2 linked regions of the Struthio camelus genome follow. The protein of the gene in region 1 interacts with the protein of each later gene in a pairwise test. Links are inferred from orthologs where the notes say so. Each region holds a gene or a part of one and is shown on either strand. Other genes may lie near its edges.

Evidence for each region.
Region 2: the proteins of NDUFAF3 (region 1) and NDUFAF4 interact in binary tests that used the Homo sapiens proteins (3 or more experiments, as listed by UniProt). The two-hybrid records come from large-scale screens. The link is inferred for Struthio camelus from reciprocal best matches to the Homo sapiens genes NDUFAF3 and NDUFAF4.

The regions. Positions count from the first base shown.
Region 1 is NC_090955.1:10,148,124-10,156,605, reverse strand, and holds the start of NDUFAF3 (NADH dehydrogenase [ubiquinone] 1 alpha subcomplex assembly factor 3), read left to right. Parts: upstream 1-5,023; coding exon 5,024-5,196; intron 5,197-8,482. Other genes in the region: DALRD3 (DALR anticodon-binding domain-containing protein 3), read right to left, coding at 251-370, 628-696, 917-1,030, 1,152-1,210, 1,464-1,587, 2,000-2,082, 2,397-2,455, 2,942-3,012 and 5 more. UniProt on the Homo sapiens protein: Essential factor for the assembly of mitochondrial NADH:ubiquinone oxidoreductase complex (complex I).
Region 2 is NC_090944.1:53,378,878-53,388,524, reverse strand, and holds the start of NDUFAF4 (NADH dehydrogenase [ubiquinone] 1 alpha subcomplex assembly factor 4), read left to right. Parts: upstream 1-5,498; 5' UTR 5,499-5,502; coding exon 5,503-5,725; intron 5,726-6,499; coding exon 6,500-6,597; intron 6,598-8,828; coding exon 8,829-9,125; 3' UTR 9,126-9,647. UniProt on the Homo sapiens protein: Involved in the assembly of mitochondrial NADH:ubiquinone oxidoreductase complex (complex I). May be involved in cell proliferation and survival of hormone-dependent tumor cells. May be a regulator of breast tumor cell invasion.

The sequences.
Region 1 (8,482 bases):
TGCTATTGTGGGTGCCCTGGGCGCTGGCGCTTCCTCGCCTCATCCGCCGCGTCCCGCAGCCTGGCTGCCAGAGATGCTGTCATCTCCCCGGCCCCGGCTGGCAGGCCTGTCCTGGGTGCGTGTATCCAAAGCCTCCCTCAAAACCCACCGCGGCAGGGCTCCAGTGTGCCTCGACACCCCTCACGCTGCCAGGAGGGCACACGCTGTCCTTGCCCTCGCCTCCCACGCGGCGTGGCTGTCCAGCAGCGGCTCAGATCTGGCTGAGAGGCGGGAGGTGCAGAGTGGCCAGGGCGCTGTGGAACGTGTCCCTCACGGCTGCCAGCAGCTGGAGGCGAGCAAACATCTGGTCAAACAGGTGAGGGAATGGCTCCTGCGGGGAGAAAGGCAGCAATGTGGGGGCTGGTGGCCACAGTCCCCCTTAGCCCCAGAGGCATCGCTGCCTCTTCACCCTGCTGACGTGGCCTCAGAGCCCTGCCCCAGCCTCTTATCTTGCTGCTGGCACGCAGAAGCCTGCTCGTGGCAGCCCAGCCCCACGGGAAGGCCTCCGCAGCCTGGGCTAGTGTAGCCCCCTGGGAGGGCTGCAGCGCTGCCCCCCCTTCAGCAAGTCACCTGGGCTATTTGACTCACCCCCAGGATGTGGACACGGTTGTAGTAGGAGCTGAAATCCATGCTGAGCTGGATCAGGAATTTGCACACCTGCAACACGGAGAGCTAGTGTCGGCACTGCAGGGTCTGCTCTTGGGTCGTCTCCCCCACACCAAACAGCACTCGCAGTGTCACAGTCTCGTCCCAGGGAAGCCCCTCAGCACTGTCCCGGTGTTGCATACCGGCGGGCAGCACCCTTCAGGGTGCAGCCTTGCCCCAGGCTGGGGCTGTGAGAGCAGCACCCATGGGTGCTCCGGCACGTGGTACTTACCGTCTCTGCGCTGGCTGTGATCCGGATCCCCTTGCTGGGTGAGGGCAGCTGTGCTGCCTGCTGCAAGACTTCGGGGAAGGGCAGGAGATAGTTGAAGAGCAGGAGCCATTCGCCCTGTGAAAGGGTTCGGTGTGTCCGAGAGGGCCGGATCCCCCTGGGCCAGAAGCATCGATCCTCCGATCCTCCGGAGCTGAGGGCACACAGCTCCCTGCAGCCTCCGTCCCTCAGCACTCACCTCTTCCCGGAGGCAGGAGAAGTTCAGTTCTGATGCTGGCGGCAAGGGTGGGTATGTGCCTGGGAAGGAGGCGAGAGATGGCTGCTGTGCGCATAGCAGCCCCGGTGCTGGGAGCCCTGGGGTCTCCCTGCTGCAGGGACAGCCCAGGGGACTGCTGCACTGGAGCCCCGTCAGGCCATCAGCCTCCTGCCTCTGGCAGAGTCGCTGCTGAGGCGGTTGTGGGGCTCCAGGAACAACCCCATCCCCACGCAGCCGTGAGGAACAGCCCCAGAGTCGCTGCTTAGGGAGAGGGCCCGGTGGGCTAGGGCTCACCCCGCTCCACAGCCCGCTGGTAGGTGTCGAAGAGCGTGGCCAGCCGGGCACAGTTGTACATCACGAAGGCGCCGCTCTTGGTTCCCTTTGTGGAGATGCTGCTGTCCTCCAGGTCCAGAACGATCTGAGGGAAGAGAGAGGCTGCGGTCCAGGCTGCTCGGCACACAGCCGGTCCTGGCACGTCCCTGCACCTCTCGCTGGGGGAGCGGAGCCTTCCCCAGCAGGCAGAGCGTGACCACCAGTGTGCTGAGCCTGGGCCCGTCCTGGGCAGATGGGTGCAGGCTACCGGGGCTGGCTGCTGGTGCAGGAACACCAGCCTGCACCTGCTTGCTTCAGCCCATGGGAAAGCCCTCTGCCCCAAATCCAGGGCAGCCAGAGCCCACAGAGCGCCTCCCCTCTCCCCGTCGCTACTTGTCCCTCTGCTTCTGCCCGACCTCAGCCTGTGCCATGAGCTGTAGCTCCCAAAGAGCGGTATGTCCCACTGCTCACAGGCCCCCCGGCTCTGCACAGACCGTTGCAGCTCTGGCCTGTCCTACCTGACTACGGTGGGCAGTGCTCAGCATCTCAAACCTGATGGCAGCCGCTGTCAGGACATCGATAACCTCAGTCCAGGCCTCGTCTGCAAAAAAACACAAATGGGGCCACAGCACGGCTTGCTCCAGCCCCGCGTACCTGCCACCCTCAGGCAGAAACCCCCCAGTGCGGGCTGGGAACCAACACGCTTCCCTAGCCCCTTCTCGCAGCAGAGAGAAGGGGACCTTCTGTGCAACGGTTCAGACACCTTCCTCCCAAGCAAGGTCAGAACCCCGCTCCTTCCCAGGGGAGAGACCTCCTGGCTGCAGCCACGAGACCCTGAGGTGGGTGGGTGGGTGGGTGGGGGAGACTTATGGGAGCAGTGCGGAAGCAGCATCTACGTGTGGAGCAAACCCTCACCTTGTGCGAGTTCCCCATACTTCATCACAGAGGCTTCGTACATCTGGCGCTTTCGGAGCCTGGGAGGAACACAGACAGTTAGAGCCACCACCGCCTCCCCAGGGCGAGCCTGCTCCAGAGAGGGCCCGAGGGCTCCCCCAGCCTTCGGGCTGCTGGGGCTGGTCACACCGCACGGGGCCTAGCTCCTGCCCCGGCCTTTCCTCCCAGCAGCGCTGCTGGGGAGGGGGAGAGCTACAGCCCCCGGCAGTCAGTGCCAACAGGGCCAGAGGCAGCCCAACTAGAGGAGCCTACTAAGAGCGAGGAGGGCAAAACAGTTGTCTTCCCTCTCCTGCCCCTGCCGTGGATCTCCAGGCCTCTAGAGACAGCCACGAAGCCGCAGAAAAGCGGAACGGAGGAAGGCTGCTGGGACCACACAGAAACTTCCTTAAACCTCCGGCACGCTCATCTGTTCAGAGAGCTTCCTGGGTGTCCGCAGGGCCAAAGCAGAGCCCAGGCAGCCTGGTCGGTGGGTGACACAGCCAGCTCCTTGCTAAATACCAACTTACTGGAAGTACTGGTCTGCCCCAATGGGGGATGAGGGCTTTGCTATCTTCACTGGTCCACAGACAAGGTGTTTCTGAAAAAGAAATGAGACAGCAGGCTTAGGCTCAAGGACTTAGAAGCTGTATCAGCACTAAAATGCAGTGCCAGAAGAATTGAACCTGGAGAGCAGCCAGGGAAACCTCTGCTCACAGCTATGGAAACAGGAAAAGGGGAACACAGAGTCAGGAGCTGCTGAAGTGCACTGGTGCGTTCAGTCAACAGCCCGGTTCTGCCTGCACCCCTGCAATCCCCTCCTGCCCTTCCTTCTTCAGCACTAAGGTCCCAAGGGCTCCGCAGCCTGGGCAAGACTGCGGAGGGGCCAGCAGGGCTGAAGGGAAGGCTCCCGAGGAGGCGAGGCTGGACCTCGGATTCACTGCAGGGACGGCAGGAGAGCTGGCTCAGCCCGAGGACACTGGGGGCCACGATGAAGAAGGCAGAAAGTTCCTCACCTGCAGAGCTGTGTGGGCTCCCGGATCCAAAATCCTCCAGAGCAGATCCATCTGCTGCTGCTGGAATTCCTCCTCGCAGCTCAGCACGTGCACCACGTGGCAGCAGCCTGCCTGGCCGCCGGCCTGCAGCAGAGCACAGCAGCGAGCTCGGACGCCGGCGCGGGACAGAAGGGAACGCCGGCGGGAAGCGAGAGCCAGGCAGCGCGGCGGCGGGGTTACTCACCGCGCACTGCAGGACGGCCTGCTGCAGCTCCGCCAGGCACCGCAGCTTCTCCTCCGTCACTGAAAGGAGGAAGGACAGTCAGGGAGGGAAGCGAGGGCGCGCGGCACCCCTGCTCCGTCCTGCCCCAGCCCGGCAGGTGGAAGGGGAACAACGAGGAAAGGCAGTCTACATCTAAACGCTCCTTATTCTTGTTAAGGTAATTAAAAAAAAGAAACGGACTCCCGTGCCGCCCTTCACGCCCCGTGCTGCCACACTAGCGGCCCACGGCGCTCACCCCGGAGGACGTCCAGGTTGGGGTCGTAGCCCTCCAGGTGCTGCTGCTCCACGAAGCTCCGCAGGTCCACTTCAGCCACGACGTCCTCGGGCAGGGCAGCAGCGGCGCCGCCGGCCCCCCGCTCGCCGGCCGCGACGTAGGGCGACCGCGCCAGGGCCCGCTTCAGGGCGGCGATGGCCTCGGGGCCGCCGGGGTCGGGGCGGCCGCAGGGCCAAGCGACGCGGAGCTGCCGCAGCACCTCCCGGCTCGGCTCGTCGCCCAGGGCGGGCACCAGGCGCACGCTGGCCCTGCGACGGAGAGGGAGGGAGGTGGCGGTGAGGCCGCGGGGCGGCGGCGGTGGGGCCGGCGGGGGGGGTGGCGGCACTCACCCCTGGGCGCGCAGCACCTCGGCCAGGTGGTCGGCGAGCAGCACGGGGCGGAGGCGGCGGGGCGGCAGGGCGGCGGGGCCGCGCAGGCCCGGGCAGTGCAGCACCACGCGCGCCGGGGAGGCCGGCGGTGGGGCCGGCGCAGGGCCGGGGCCCAGCAGCCGCCGGAAGGCCTCCGGCCGCCGCACCTGCACCGCCAGCCCCTCCACTGTCTCCTGGCACCCACTCAGCGGCAGCACTTCCGGGCCCGACAGTGACGTCACGCGCGCCATGACGTCAGCAGGCACCTGCCAGAGACACGGGGGGATGAAGGCAGAGAGAAACCGCTGGGTAAGGCCCCTCCCCCTGCCTCTCTGGCCCCGCCCCCGCCCAGGCAGGCCCCGCCCCCCGCCCAGGCAGGCTTCGTCTCCGGCGCGCCGGCCCCGCCCCCGATGCCTGGCCCCGCCCCTGCCGCCTAGCAGGCCCCACCCCCGCCCAGGTAGGCCTCGTCTGCGGCGCGCCGGCCCCGCCCTCGCTGCCTGGCCCCGCCCCCGCCGCCCGGGCCGGCCCCGCCCCCGCGGCCTACCTGCCCCCCGCCGAACGCGGCCCGCAGCGCGGCCTGCGGCGCCAGGAAGTCGCGGTGCCGCAGGCGGTGGGCGCCGCTCTCCTTCCGCCAGAGCGCGGCCGGCCGCCCCAGCGCGCCGTTCAGGGCCCGCAGCGTCGCCGCCACCGCCGGCCTCCCCTCGCCCGCCTCCATGCGCTCCCCTCGCCGGCCGCTTCCGTCGACCCCGGGGCGTGACGTCACACCCCCCTTCTCGGGCGGGGCCTGGCGGGAAGGCGGCCGCCATGTTGGGCGCGGCGCGCAGCGTGCCTGCGCGGCCATCTTGGGCGCGGGTGGGTTGGACGGGGCCGGGCGGCCATCTTGGGGGTAACGGTGGCGGCGGGGGGGGGGGGGGGCGCCATGCTGGGCGTGGCGGGCAGCACGGCGAGGCCATGCTGGGTGTGGCGGGTCGCAGTGACCGAGCCCCCGGGAGAGCGGTGGCGCAGCCGGTGGGGCCTGCACGGCCCCCGGCGGCCGCTCGCCCGCCAGGCCCGGCCCTCCTGGCCAGGGCGTTTGGGAGCAGGAGGGACGCACCTTCCCCAGGCAGCAGTTCAACCTGCCCCGAAACGCTGCCCCAGCGGCTGCTCCTTCCCCTCCCGGCCTCTCAGAGCCGAGCCCGCTGGGGGCGGCGGGGAGCGGAACCGAAAGAGGGCTGAACCGCGCCGTGGAAAAAAACACGAGCGGCTGCGAGGGCCGGGCAGGAAACGGGCTTTATTGAGCGGCCGGCGGACCGGCCTCGGGGGCCGGGGCTCCTCCGAGGGGAGCCGCTCGGCCTGGCCGCGGGCAGGACGGGGGCTTCGGCCACGCAGCGGCCCGTCCCGCCTGGGTGACGCTGCCCGCCGGGCTCGGGGAAGGGCCGTCCCCGCCGGCTCATCAGCCCCGAGGGGAAGGAGGTGGACGGAAAGGATGGGAGGCCGCGCCTTGGCGGTCTCGCTGCCCGCCGCACAGCCCGGTTCCTCCGCGGCGGCGTTTCACAGCCCGCGTTTACGTGGCGCGTGCTGGCGGGGGCCCCTTCCCTCCTGCCACCCCCGCGCTCGCGGCTCCGGGGTCTCCGGGGGTCGGGCCGAGGTGGGGGTGCTCTCTGCGCCGCCCACAGCCAAGAGGTGATCTGAGACTTGCTGCTCACACCAGACCAACTGCTGACTGTCTGCGGGGCAGGAGCCGCCCGGGGCCTCTGTCCGGCGCGGCACACCCCGACGCGGCCTGAGAAAGCGCTCGGACCTCGTCTCGGGCCGCTGCGCCGGCAGAGCCGCTGCGGGGGGGTCGGCTGGCTCCGTCCCCGGCCCTGCAGGGCTGGGGGGTCCCGGCCCACGGCGGCACCGTCCCCGCGCGGCTCCCTGCTGCGGCGCGGCAGCAGCCCTGCGAAAGCCGGGGTGGCGGGGGGGGGGCCGGGCCGCGTGCCCGACGCGAGGCTCACGGAGGCGCCGAAAAAGCTTTGGACAGACACGACATTCCCGATGGCTCTCCGGCTGCCCGCTCAGCGGGAGTGATCGTGTCATTCCAAAGCCGTCTCTGTCTCTCGGGGGACCGGATCCCACCGGGGTGCCGCTCGCCCTGCCCTACGCCGCCTCCCGCCCCACCGGCGCTGGGTGTTGGGGGGGAGAAACCGCGGGCCGGGGTAGAGCCCCGCGCGGTGGCGGCGGCGGCGGCAGGAAGCCGGCGCAGCATCTCGTGACTCGCGCCGGCCCTCGGCGGCCACATCCACGCTGCGGCCGGCAGCCGCTCGGCACGCTCGCTCCGGCGGTTTCTCCCCAGGAAACGAGCTGCTATCTTTAGCCGGCGGGGAGGCACGAGGTTGGGGGGGGGGCAGGCCTGTCGGAGAGCCCCCGGCATGGCCGGGGTGGGGTGGGGGGGCCGGACGCCCCTTTTTCCCAGCTCGCAGCCGCTGGGGGCAGAGGGGCCGGGGCGGCGGGGGCGGCGGGGCCGAGGCGGGGGCGGCGGCGCGGGTAACGAAATCCCAGGGCAGCTGGGCGCAGCGGGGACAGCTGCTTTTGGGATTCCGTTGCCCGCGCGGGCGCCGGGGCCGGGCCGGGCCGGGGGCTGCCCCGCCGCCCCGCCACACAGGGCGACTTACCGCCGGGCTGGGGGGCGGGGGGGGCCAAGGGGTTGTGCTGCAGCCCCCCCGCCGTCGCCGCGGGTCAGGAGCCAAAGGGGAGGGCGGCGCGGCCGAGCCGAAAGGAAACGGCGCCAAACAACGCGCCGGTGGTGGGGCCGGAGCACCTGGCGCCGTCGTCGGAGCGGCCCCGGAAACCCGAGCTGTCCCCGAAGCAGGGCACCCGCCCCGGCACCTGCGGCGCCCGCCGCCCCCGGGGCCTCCTGGCTCCGTGCCGCCTGGCTGCCCCGGCGGGAGGCCTTCGGGCACCCGCCGCGGGGGAAGCGAAACCGGCCTGCTGCCAGTGCCGGGCCGGCGGTGCGGGGTGGGGGACCCCAACGGCGCCGCGGGCACCTCGCGCTGGGGGGTCCAAGGGTTGGGTGCAGCCCGGCGTCTCCCCACCTCGGCAGGGTGACGGGAACGGCTCCGCTCACGGACGCCGGGAGACGTGCCGATAACCGCCGCGGTGCCGGGGCTGCCGGGCTCCGGGCCAGCGGTGCGGGCGCGGGAGCAGAGCGGGGAGACGGAAACAGGAACCCGAGCGCCTGCCGTGCCGGCGCAGGGGAAGTCACAGCCGCAAGCCGCAGCACGGGGGCTCAGCCCCAGGCTGATGGCAGCGGGCCCACCGGGGGGGGGGGGGGGAGCTGTGCCGGGGGCACAGGGTGGCAGCAGAGCCGAGCCGTGGGGCGCAGGGCAGGAGCAGAGCCGAACCGTGGGGCGCAGGGTGGCAGCAGAGCCGAGCCGTGGGGCGCAGGGCAGGAGCAGAGCTAAACCGTGGGGCGCAGGGTGGCAGCAGAGCCGAGCCGTGGGGCGCAGGGCAGGAGCAGAGCCGAGCCGTGGGGCGCAGGGTGGCAGCAGAGCCGAGCCGTGGGGCGCAGGGCAGGAGCAGAGCCGAACCGTGGGGCGCAGGGTGGCAGCAGAGCCGAGCCGTGGGGCGCAGGGCAGCAGCAGAGCTGAACCGTGGGGCGCAGGGCAGGAGCAGAGCTGTGCCGTGGGGTGCAGGGCAGGAGCAGAGCCGAACCGTGGGGCGCAGGGTGGCAGCAGAGCCGAGCCGTGGGGCGCAGGGCAGGAGCAGAGCCGAGCCGTGGGGCGCAGGGTGGCAGCAGAGCCGAGCCGTGGGGCGCAGGGCAGGAGCAGAGCTGTGCCGTGGGGCGCAGGGCAGGAGCAGAGCCGAACCGTGGGGCACAGGGCAGGAGCAGAGCCGTGCCGTGGGGCGCAGGGCAGGAGCAGAGCTGTGCCGTGGGGTGCAGGGTGGCAGCAGAGCCGAGCCGTGGGGCGAAGGGCAGGAGCAGAGCCGAACCGTGGGGCGCAGGGCAGGAGCAGAGCTGTGCCGTGGGGCGCAGGGCAGGAGCAGAGCTGTGCCGTGGGGCGCAGGGCAGGAGCAGAGCCGAGCCGTGGGGCGCAGGACGGGAGCAGAGCCGAGCCGTGGGGCGCAGGTTCAAGGGCAGCGCCGAGCCGTGGGGCGCAGGCCATGCACAGTGGGGCCCAGCAGAGAGCGAGGGGGGAGCTGTGCAGAGCTCT
Region 2 (9,647 bases), on another chromosome or scaffold:
ACAGGCCCAAGGGTGTTTGTCTTGAGGATTCTGGTGTGTGAGCAAAGCCAGCCCACCTCCCATCCTATGTGGTTCCCCCCCCCCCCCCCAAACTCTGGTTCACTTCCTCCTCACTTGGGCTGGTACAATTCTTTGTGTGACTGCTGAAACTAAATGATCTGAGTGCAAAGTACACCCTCTCCATTTCACAAAAAGAAGCAAAACTTGGCAGCAATAGCAGTTTCAGGTATTTGTACGCCTCTTCTCTTCAATCCCTTGTTTCCCCTCCTGTTTTGCTTGTAGTTTTTCTGGGAGCATTCAAACCATCAGTAACTGATATGCCTTATAAAAAGTTACAGGACTTTTGTTTTTATTAAATCAGATCAACTATCTGATGTTGTTCACCCTGAAGAGATCCTGCAGTCTTGCTCCAGCATGAGTGATGACACGATGCAAGGCTTAAAAGAATAAGGGCAGCACTTCTCTAAAGCAGTACTGCGACTAAGAACAGAGTACATGGAAGTGAACCCTGTGACTTAGAATGAAGACCATGTTAGCTCTCACTGAATAGCATAGCAAAATGCACATCTCTAATTGCTTTAGGTAATTAATGCCAGTACCAGGCTGTCTCATTATCAAATATGCCGGCTCCTACTGTGCATTTCCAAGTCAAATAACCTGCTAATTGAGATTATAAAAATTAGCTCGGAAAATTATGAAAGATGATGTCAGTTATACCAGGCCACAGTCAATCAGAAGAATGTAAATGTACCACCTTGAAATGAATGTTATAAGGAAGTAGTAATGCGTTCAGACACATTACTGTAAATGTGGGCTTGCTACACTCTACTCATAAGCTTCAATCCAGCAAAGGACCGACAGAAATTCTTTAATTCCTAGGTACAGCCACCTAGTCTTGAAAAGATGAGAGTCAAGTGTTTAGTAATACTCTGGTCATAGCCTGGAATCAGGCAAAAGTCTTCGTATATTTTTAGATAGTTCCGGAGCCACTAAAAGATGGATTAGGTGAAGCTCAGTAACAAATAGAACAACCAGAAATCACTTAAAGGTAATAGTGATCTCAACATCCATCTTTCTTGAGCTCATCTTCAGAAAGTCATGGGACAGTCATTGTTGCTCAGGTCATAATTATTGCTAATGCTACGTTCTCTGGCTCTTCTTACTGCTGATGAGATAAGGAACAAATGGATCAATGCTCTCATTGTATTTAATGGAAAACCAGTAGTCAGGAAAGAGGGCTGAGTTCCCTTAATCCTAATTATACATGAATTTGCTAGACAGTATCCCCATACATTGTTAAAATTTATGAATAATTAGGAAAATAAATATGAGAAACCAGTATCAGTGGTAGAAAGCATGGAGAGAATCAAATATTAAACTATGTCACTACAGTATAAGGGATTCAAATTTTCCTCTGCCTTAAACACTGGAACTTCTGAAGACTATAAAATGACGTAGTGAACATCATCTGCCTCCTCTCAAAAACTGTCAAATTGAGCATCCATTACTAAAAGAGATTCTTATTTCACCAAGATTACTTTTCCTCTAGACTAATATTCTGATTCCTGCTTTTCTGAGTAGTAAAGAAGGCAGAGAAACCTTGGTAGCATCTCACAATAAATCAAGTTAAAGGTCAGACATCCCCTTTGTCCCTTACACAAAGAGAATCTGCAACAGATCAGTCAGCCTTTTTTGATGTTAATTAACTAATAAAATTAATTTTGGACCTATTTTTCATTCAGCTATAGAACCTGTCAAGAATGAAAAAACAAACAAAACCCCACAAATTAATATCAGAACTGGCATGAAAAACTGACAGAAAGGCTTCAAGAATGTTTGCAAATTTATTTTTATTCTCCAAGTGCAGAACAGTTTTAAGAAATGTCTCCCTCGGATGTGGGAAAGGAGGCAGCCTATGGCACATATATATGATGCCAGTTCCAGTATTTATCTCTGAAATGTTTGACACTGTCTGCTGTTGAAAACAGGTTGCTGGTATAAATGAATTGAGTTGAATATTCTGTGTTGTTCCTTTCCTGTGTTTTGTTATTTTTAAGTTCCCTGGAAAAATTCATACATACATACAGTTTTTATGCTTTGAGGAACTATATGGTCAGTTTTTTTAAGAACATACACTTATAGACACGTGATAGAAAAGGATCCCAGGCTTTTGGTTACTGCTACTTAATATCATCAATATGGTTATATTGATAAAATGCTGAATGATCAAACAATTTTTTAAAATCCCAATTCTGCTGCTGCTACAGTCTAAATGAAAGAGGAAATATTATAACTCCAGAATAAAAATCTTGCACTTCTGATCCTTCCTTATACATAATAAGGACAGCTTTGTGCCATCCTCAGTGATAGGAAGAGACAGGCAGAGAATGACATCACTATTTTTAACTGTCTGTCTTCTGGTGAATTTATTTTGCTGTCAGTAAATATTACAGCAGTGTTAGTCACATTCTGGCTTTACAGAGACAGAATCACTGTGCTGGGTTTGATCCTGAAAGCCAACAATTCTTAGCTTTTGAAGGAGCAGCATCTTTATTTCCAAATTTGTAGCAATGCTTGCATGCACAGACAGAAGAGTAAGAACATGTCTTAGAGAAATACTAAAGTACACATCAAAGGTCTACAGCCACCAAGAAAAAGCATCCATGTGAATTTTACCATTACATTTACCTTCACAACACCGGATAGGCTACCCACCAGTAAAATATCAAACCCCATGCTCCAGAACATAGGCAAAAATCAGCCACTAATTGACTACTGATATTTAATTAGACACGCCATCAGCCTGATTTGCGATATAAAATCTCATAGCGGGTTCCACATTCCTATTATCAGTACACATACAATGCCTAAAATAGGATCAGGTTGGTTATAGGGTGAGTTTATAAACAGAGAGTAGAATTTAAAGAGATGCTTCTATCCTTCCCCTATAGACAATGAGAGTCTTCAAAACGTGGAAGTGAAAAAATTGCCCCTTCAGAACTCTCGAAGAAGGCGCAGAGGAAGTACAGATCAACCTTATGCTGCCTTGCCCTCATTGCCTTTGTGGATCTATTTGTTTTCTTCATCCACCTGCTTTGTCTTCTGAATTCCCTTTAAGCAAAAGCTGTCATTCATTATGCAGTATTCCAGCACACTGTGGCCTTAATAGCTACTGCATCATCACCATTATTACTAATAGTAACGCTGCTACTTACACTACTAACAGGCATCCAGATTTTGCATGCACACAGTGATAACAAAACTAGATGGATGCCAGGACAGAAAATAGGTGTCTTCCTCCTAGAAAGGAACACAGACATTGGACCTTTTAACTAGCCTTCATAGCACTGACTCTTAGTTACTTGATTCAGGCAACTATTACCATGCATGAAGAAAGTCTGCAAACAGGATATAAACAACTCAAAAGTACAAAGCAATTGTGTATAGGCTAAGACAAACAATAGCTAGGATTAAAAAGTCAGTAATACGCTTACCTCCTTTGGTAAGCTACCCTCTCAGTCTGTGTTTGCCAGGCAGTCATCGGTCAGACAGAGAGGGGTCAGCCTTTACTGCTTCATGTAACACTAATCCGTAGTGTTGCTGTTTCTCATTCCCTTTTGCTCTCTCGGAACTTTATAACTTTTCATAGTTATATTCTTCCTCTCTTGAATCCTGAAGCTGCTGGCTCTATCTCAAAAATTTACCTTTGTCTGCAATTTTACCTTTCTTATGTTACTCAGGACTAAGTACTTTCTCACAGCTGTTTTTCACAGTTTAGCAATTTTCTCAGAAGTCAAGGTTGAGGTGATTCAGCTGGGCTGCATCAAAGCTACGCCTTGGATCACAGAAAGCTAAAAAAGAAAGGTTACACCCTAATCAAGACCATAGCTTAACAGCATATCATAGCTCACAAACTCTGAATGATACAAAGGATTTGTTCTCCAAATTGCCGTGTAGGGTATACGTTCTAGACTATATCTGCGTAGAAAATTAATTTTCTGTCACTGAATAAAGCAACTATGTGCTAGTAAGGAAATGCTACACACACTAATGACAGAGTAATAGTAAGATGAAAAACATCCTTAAATATTTCCACATTATCATTATTCAAGTAAAAACTCCAAAGAGAAAACATGTAAGATATTTTAAATTGGCATACTAGTTGATAACAGTCAGAAAAGAAAGTTGAGATAATACCCTTTCTACATGAGGATTCATCATTCGGCAGTATATGTGGTGTCACATGATGACACTGTATGTTGGAGGCTAAAATGTGAAAAAGGAAAAAAGGTGCAGATAATATTTTATACATTGAATGGCCCTCTTATTCGTGCTATCAGGGCCACTCAGTCCGTTTATAAGCTTTTACATCATAAACTACAGCTTGTTGGTGCAGATGACATGTATTTGCCTGATCCGTATTTTCATTGTCTGGATTACACTACCTTCTCCTAACAATTCTCTTGAGGTTTAGGATGTGCACAGGTAATAACCCTGCATATAAATCAAGTGAATACACTTATAAAGTAACATATCTAAAAATCATCTATAAAGCAGCAATTCATATGTCTTTTACCAAAATGCTGACACAGCTGCATCGACGATTACAACACCAAGCACGGAAACCCTAGACTAGCCTGCCACCTTGAGGATGTTGCCAACTTTACCCCAAAAGAAATCATGCAGCATTGGTTCTCCTTATACTGAATATTTGCTTTAAGTTTTGGTGATCAATGTATTAAAAAAAAAAAATCCTATGTACATCAGTAATATTAGTTATATAATAAACCCCACTGAGTTACACCAGACCAGTCATGCCCATGAATGCCTACAACAGGAAGATGTTCTTCCCAAAAGACGAAAGATACCTTAAGATATATGTCGCTGTTGCATGAGAGCATTAGAATTGCACTTTTTATGCACACGTACGAGTTCCTGAAAGAAAAGTGCGATTTTCTCCTCAAAAGAAACAGTAACGCATCTCCGTTCTTGCAGCAATGAGGGAACATCACTCTTTCAAAAGAGTAACGGAGATTTTAAAAGCACAACAACGTACGCACACAGCACCATAGGGAAAGCATGTTCTCTGTGTGGGCTACCGGCCAGTTTTAAGGACGAATTTGTGCACTTAAGTACGCCGGTAGGGTGAAAAGCGCCGCCGGCGCGCCGCCCGCCCGCCCTGAGCAGGGCAGAGCTACCTGCGCCACGCCGGCGCGTCAGCCATCTTGACCACCGAGGCCCACGCACCTGCGAGCGCCGACGCCACAGCGATAACGCGCGCGGCAGAGGAGAAAAACGGTCGAGTCACACCGTGAAATAAAAAGCGATTCACCCTGCTTGTGATTCACACTTTGCCTCAGTACCTCGCCACGCACCACTGGACTCTTACATGGGGAAACCGAGGCACAGCCACGCTCCTGCCGCGCCTCCCCAAGGCGGGAACGGCAGAGCGGCCCCGGCCTCCCCCTCCCGTCCGGCGGCGCGGCGCCCAACCCGGTGCGCATGCGCGACCGGCGCACCCCGCTTCACCCCGCCCCTGGCCGCTGCCGCCGAGTTGCGCAGGCGCGGTGCGGTGCGGTGCGGGTGGCTGCGGCGGTGATGGGCGGGCGGGTGAGTCGCGTGTTCCGCACCTTCAACGTGGAAAGCCGCGCCCGCCGCGAGATCAGCAAGGAGAAGCCCACGCCCGCGCCGCGGCACCCCACCGCGCGGCTGGACGCGCTGGCTGGTGAGTCCCGGCAGGCAGGACTGCCCGCGGCGGGCAGCGAGCACCGGTCCGGCGGAGCGGAGCCGCGCTGCGGCCTCGAGGGGACGGCGGGCGGCGCGGAGGGAGGGTTGCGTTGATAAGGCGCTAGGAAGCACGGCGATGGCGAGCGGGCAGCCCGCGGCTGGCCGGCGGCGGGAAGAGCCGGGCCCGGCGGCGGGTGACATTGAAAACGGAGCGGCCGCGCGCGGGGCACGCCGGGAGCCGCTGTGGCGGCGGCGGTTGGGCGGGGCGGTTGCTAGCAGCGGTTGCTAGGGGCGGCCCCAGCGGTGCGGGGCTGCGCCGCGCCGCGCGGGGGGCGGTTGAGCGGCGGTTGGGCGGCAAACGGCTGGCGTTGCCCTTCGCCCCGCTCGCCTGGGCCGGCTCAGGCTCGTTTCGCGGATGTCGTGAATCGCTGGTCCGCTTCGCGGGCCGCTGGGGAGTAGCGCGCGTGTCTGGAGTGAAGTGAGGCCGTCGTACGGGTTACAAACGAGGGGGGTTTTATCGTGCTGTTTAGCGCCAGGAGTTATGGCAGCACCCCTGTTTCTCGGTGTAAAACAGTACTGTTAATGTTAGAACTAACGCAGAACTGAAATCTGCCTGAGAAACACTGTGTATATTGAGGCTCTGTGTATTGTGATGGCTCTGGGGAAGTGATAAGGCTGACAGAAGTAATGAAAATGAAACAATTTTATGACTCGGATCTTTCTTCTCTCTCTCTCTCTCTTTTTTTTTTTTCCTTCTCCCCTCTGCCTTTAGACCATCCAGAAATACAGGAAGAAATTTACAGAAAGGATGATAGGCTCCTCACTTTGCTAAAAGATGTTTATGTTGAATCTAGAGGTCCACCTGTGCAGGTGAGTATGTCTCGCTGTAGGAAGCATACGAGCATCAGCTTTGTGGTTTTTAGTCTCAACACAAATCCTACCTAGTGGGCAGATTTTTCAAGAAAAATACTCTCTTAGTGCCTAAAAACTACCATTTTTTATAGGTAAAACTGATGTTTTCATTGCCCTTCTATATATCAGTAGCACTGACTGTGTTTGATGCTGAGTGGTCTTGAACATGTGACAGATTATGGTAATGTAACTTTTAAATTCTTAGTAGTCTTTAACCTCACAGTGATTATTTTTGGGTTTTTTTCACCTAAGTTAGTACTCCTGCTTCCTCAAAGCCACAAGGATAATTGGCCAGTCTTTTGGAAAAATGCACAAGATTTTGCAGACTTGCTAGAAGGAAGGAGACTGAGATTAATATAAAAGCATGGGTATGGTAGAGGATGAGAACAATAGTATCAGTAGTTTAAAAAAAAAAAATACTCCAGTGAAATGTTCATGTCAAACTACGCAGAGCCTTTTCCTTATGTGACTGAGGTCGTGCTTTAGTTAGGTTTTTCTGTATAACCTTTGGGATTGTTTTTTGATCAGTTTCCTCATCATTAATGGCTTCAGTCTTTGACTTGGAAGGCAAGGCATAGCCCTTCCGGTAATGTCTAGGCTCGGGTTCAGTCTCCTCTCTTCCACCTCATTGTGCTACATCTTGTGCTTTTTTACCTCTTGCGTTACTGGATCATTTTATTCCCGCTCCTTCATGTGGTAATAAAAGTTATTTGAACATCCAGCAATAAAATTCATAAGTCTCTCTGATTTACTGCTTTTATGGTGCCTTCCATTCAAGATTTAAAAACATCTTAAACTAGAAATGGATTTCTGCAGTTTCTCTCTGAAGTATCCAAGTAATCTCTATCCATTATTTTCGTAAAGAGATTAAGACTCTAACCTTGAAGCGCTAAAGATTTCAATATCTTTGGCTTAATTTCACTATCTTCAAACGCTTCCCTTTGTCAGGCTGTTCAGAGAGATTTGAGGAAAAGCCAAAAGCAGAATAGGTGTCTTAGTACTTGACTAAGTCTGAGAGCCTAGTCTGAGGTGGCTGGTGTGCTTGCAAGACTTGCTCTTGTAATGTATCTACTTAAAATTGTTAGGAAAAGTATGAAAAATGCGTTAGCAGTGAGGCTTACTGGCAAAACTTCATCCAGCAGCTTATTTCTTCCTTTCCTGCTATTAATCTGTATGCCTTGTGTGTGTATGTATACATATGTATGCATACACCTCCACATGTCTGTCTATATTAAGGGGAAAAACATACTCTCAGTTCTGAAGTAGCAGATATCCAGAGCTGGCTTATTTTATTAAGACGTTAAGAATTTGTTGTTATCTCAGTGTAATTTTAGGATGGCTTAGGGAAGGGAAATTTGATAACACATTAGCAAATGTTCTTTGTAATTTAGAAACAGCACGGATGCTTTAGAATCTTTTTAGCTTATGCGTTAATACAAAGTGTCTGTGGGCTAATCAGTGGCCATAGGCTATGATAATTTTAAAAGTAGTGTTTCTTGAGCTTGAAGTTCTTCACTGTATCTTTTCTGCAGTGTCATTCACTGGTAAAGTCCTAGTAAAAAGGAATATGAGGAAGGCAGAGCTGGTTTGAAAATGACTTAGAAAATGAAATGTGAAAGGACTTGGGACTTTGGGTATGTGAGCACTGCAGTAATCATGGGAATTAAATTGCCTATGGAGCTGCAAAATAGCTTTTTTTTTTTTTTGTCCAACAAAGCTTGTGCTGCAGGCAGAGCAAAAGAGGGGCTGTCTGCTAGTTACAAAAATAAGATGTAAATATGAAAAAAGGGAAGGAGAGAGAGAATGGGCTACAGTGATACCAGAAGGAGGATACCAATTTGTAGTATGATGCCCCCACCACGAATCAGTACCCAGTATTATATTACCTGTATTTGTGTTTGACTACCACAATCCGTAGTGTCACATATATAGGGCTGTACAATACCTACTGTTTAATGGATGTTTGGGTTTCCTGAATCTAGGTGGAGATTTGGCCCCATACCTAGAACGACTGTGCAACAACTGGCTATAATTGTAGTGGTATCAAGAAGTGCAGCAGACAAAGCATCCTTTCTTTAATGCTGTGAAAATGCTGAAAAGACATATTCAGGAAAACAACTTGGCTGTTTACAGTATGCATAGTAAACAGAACTGCTGTTAAGTTCTTTTGTTTTCCTTCCCACAATTAGGTAAAAGATCAAGGTGGTGAACATCTTCCATGCAAACAGGAGGAAAAGAGACTTACAAAACTAGGTCATTTGGAGGCTCTAGACGTTAAGAAAGTTCCCAAAGGCAAAATTTCCATTGTGGAGGCTCTGACACTTCTCAATAATCACAAACTTCATCCTCAGATATGGACTGCGGAGAAAATAGCAGAGGAATACAGTCTGGAACTGAAGGAGGTCACCTCTCTTCTGGAATTCTTCATTCCTTTTGCTGTGCAGGAATTTCCTACTGAAGGCAGAAAAGCTATAAAACCAACATAAAAATAATTACCAAAACCTTACGTGATCTCACTGGTGTCTTAATTTTACTCTGAATGTATTCATTGTCTGAAAAGAATTGTCATCCAACAAGGCTACTTTCTTATACCAGTAAGATGTATTCAGGCAATTCCATTCTGGCTTCAGTTAAACGCAGCAATTATTGGAGGCAGTTTGTAAACCAGAATATAACTATTAAGTTGTATTAATGAGATAATCAGAGAATCACGTGACAGCCTGTCATATGCCTGCGTTCACTTAAAATAAGTAAGTTCTTGTTAGAACTTTCATTAAAATGGGTAGCCTTTCTTAACAGAGACTTCCTGGCTTTCAGCTAAATCAGTGCTCTGTGTGCACCAGCTTTGTAGTTTCATGTTATGGTCCATATTCAAGGACTTATTGTCAAGATGTATATATAAGAATACTATTATATTTGTTCTGTATTAAAATGGAATAATGTTTATAATTTGCAAAGAAGGATAGTGATGAGAAGACTTGGAAAATTCAGCTCTATCAAAAACTTAG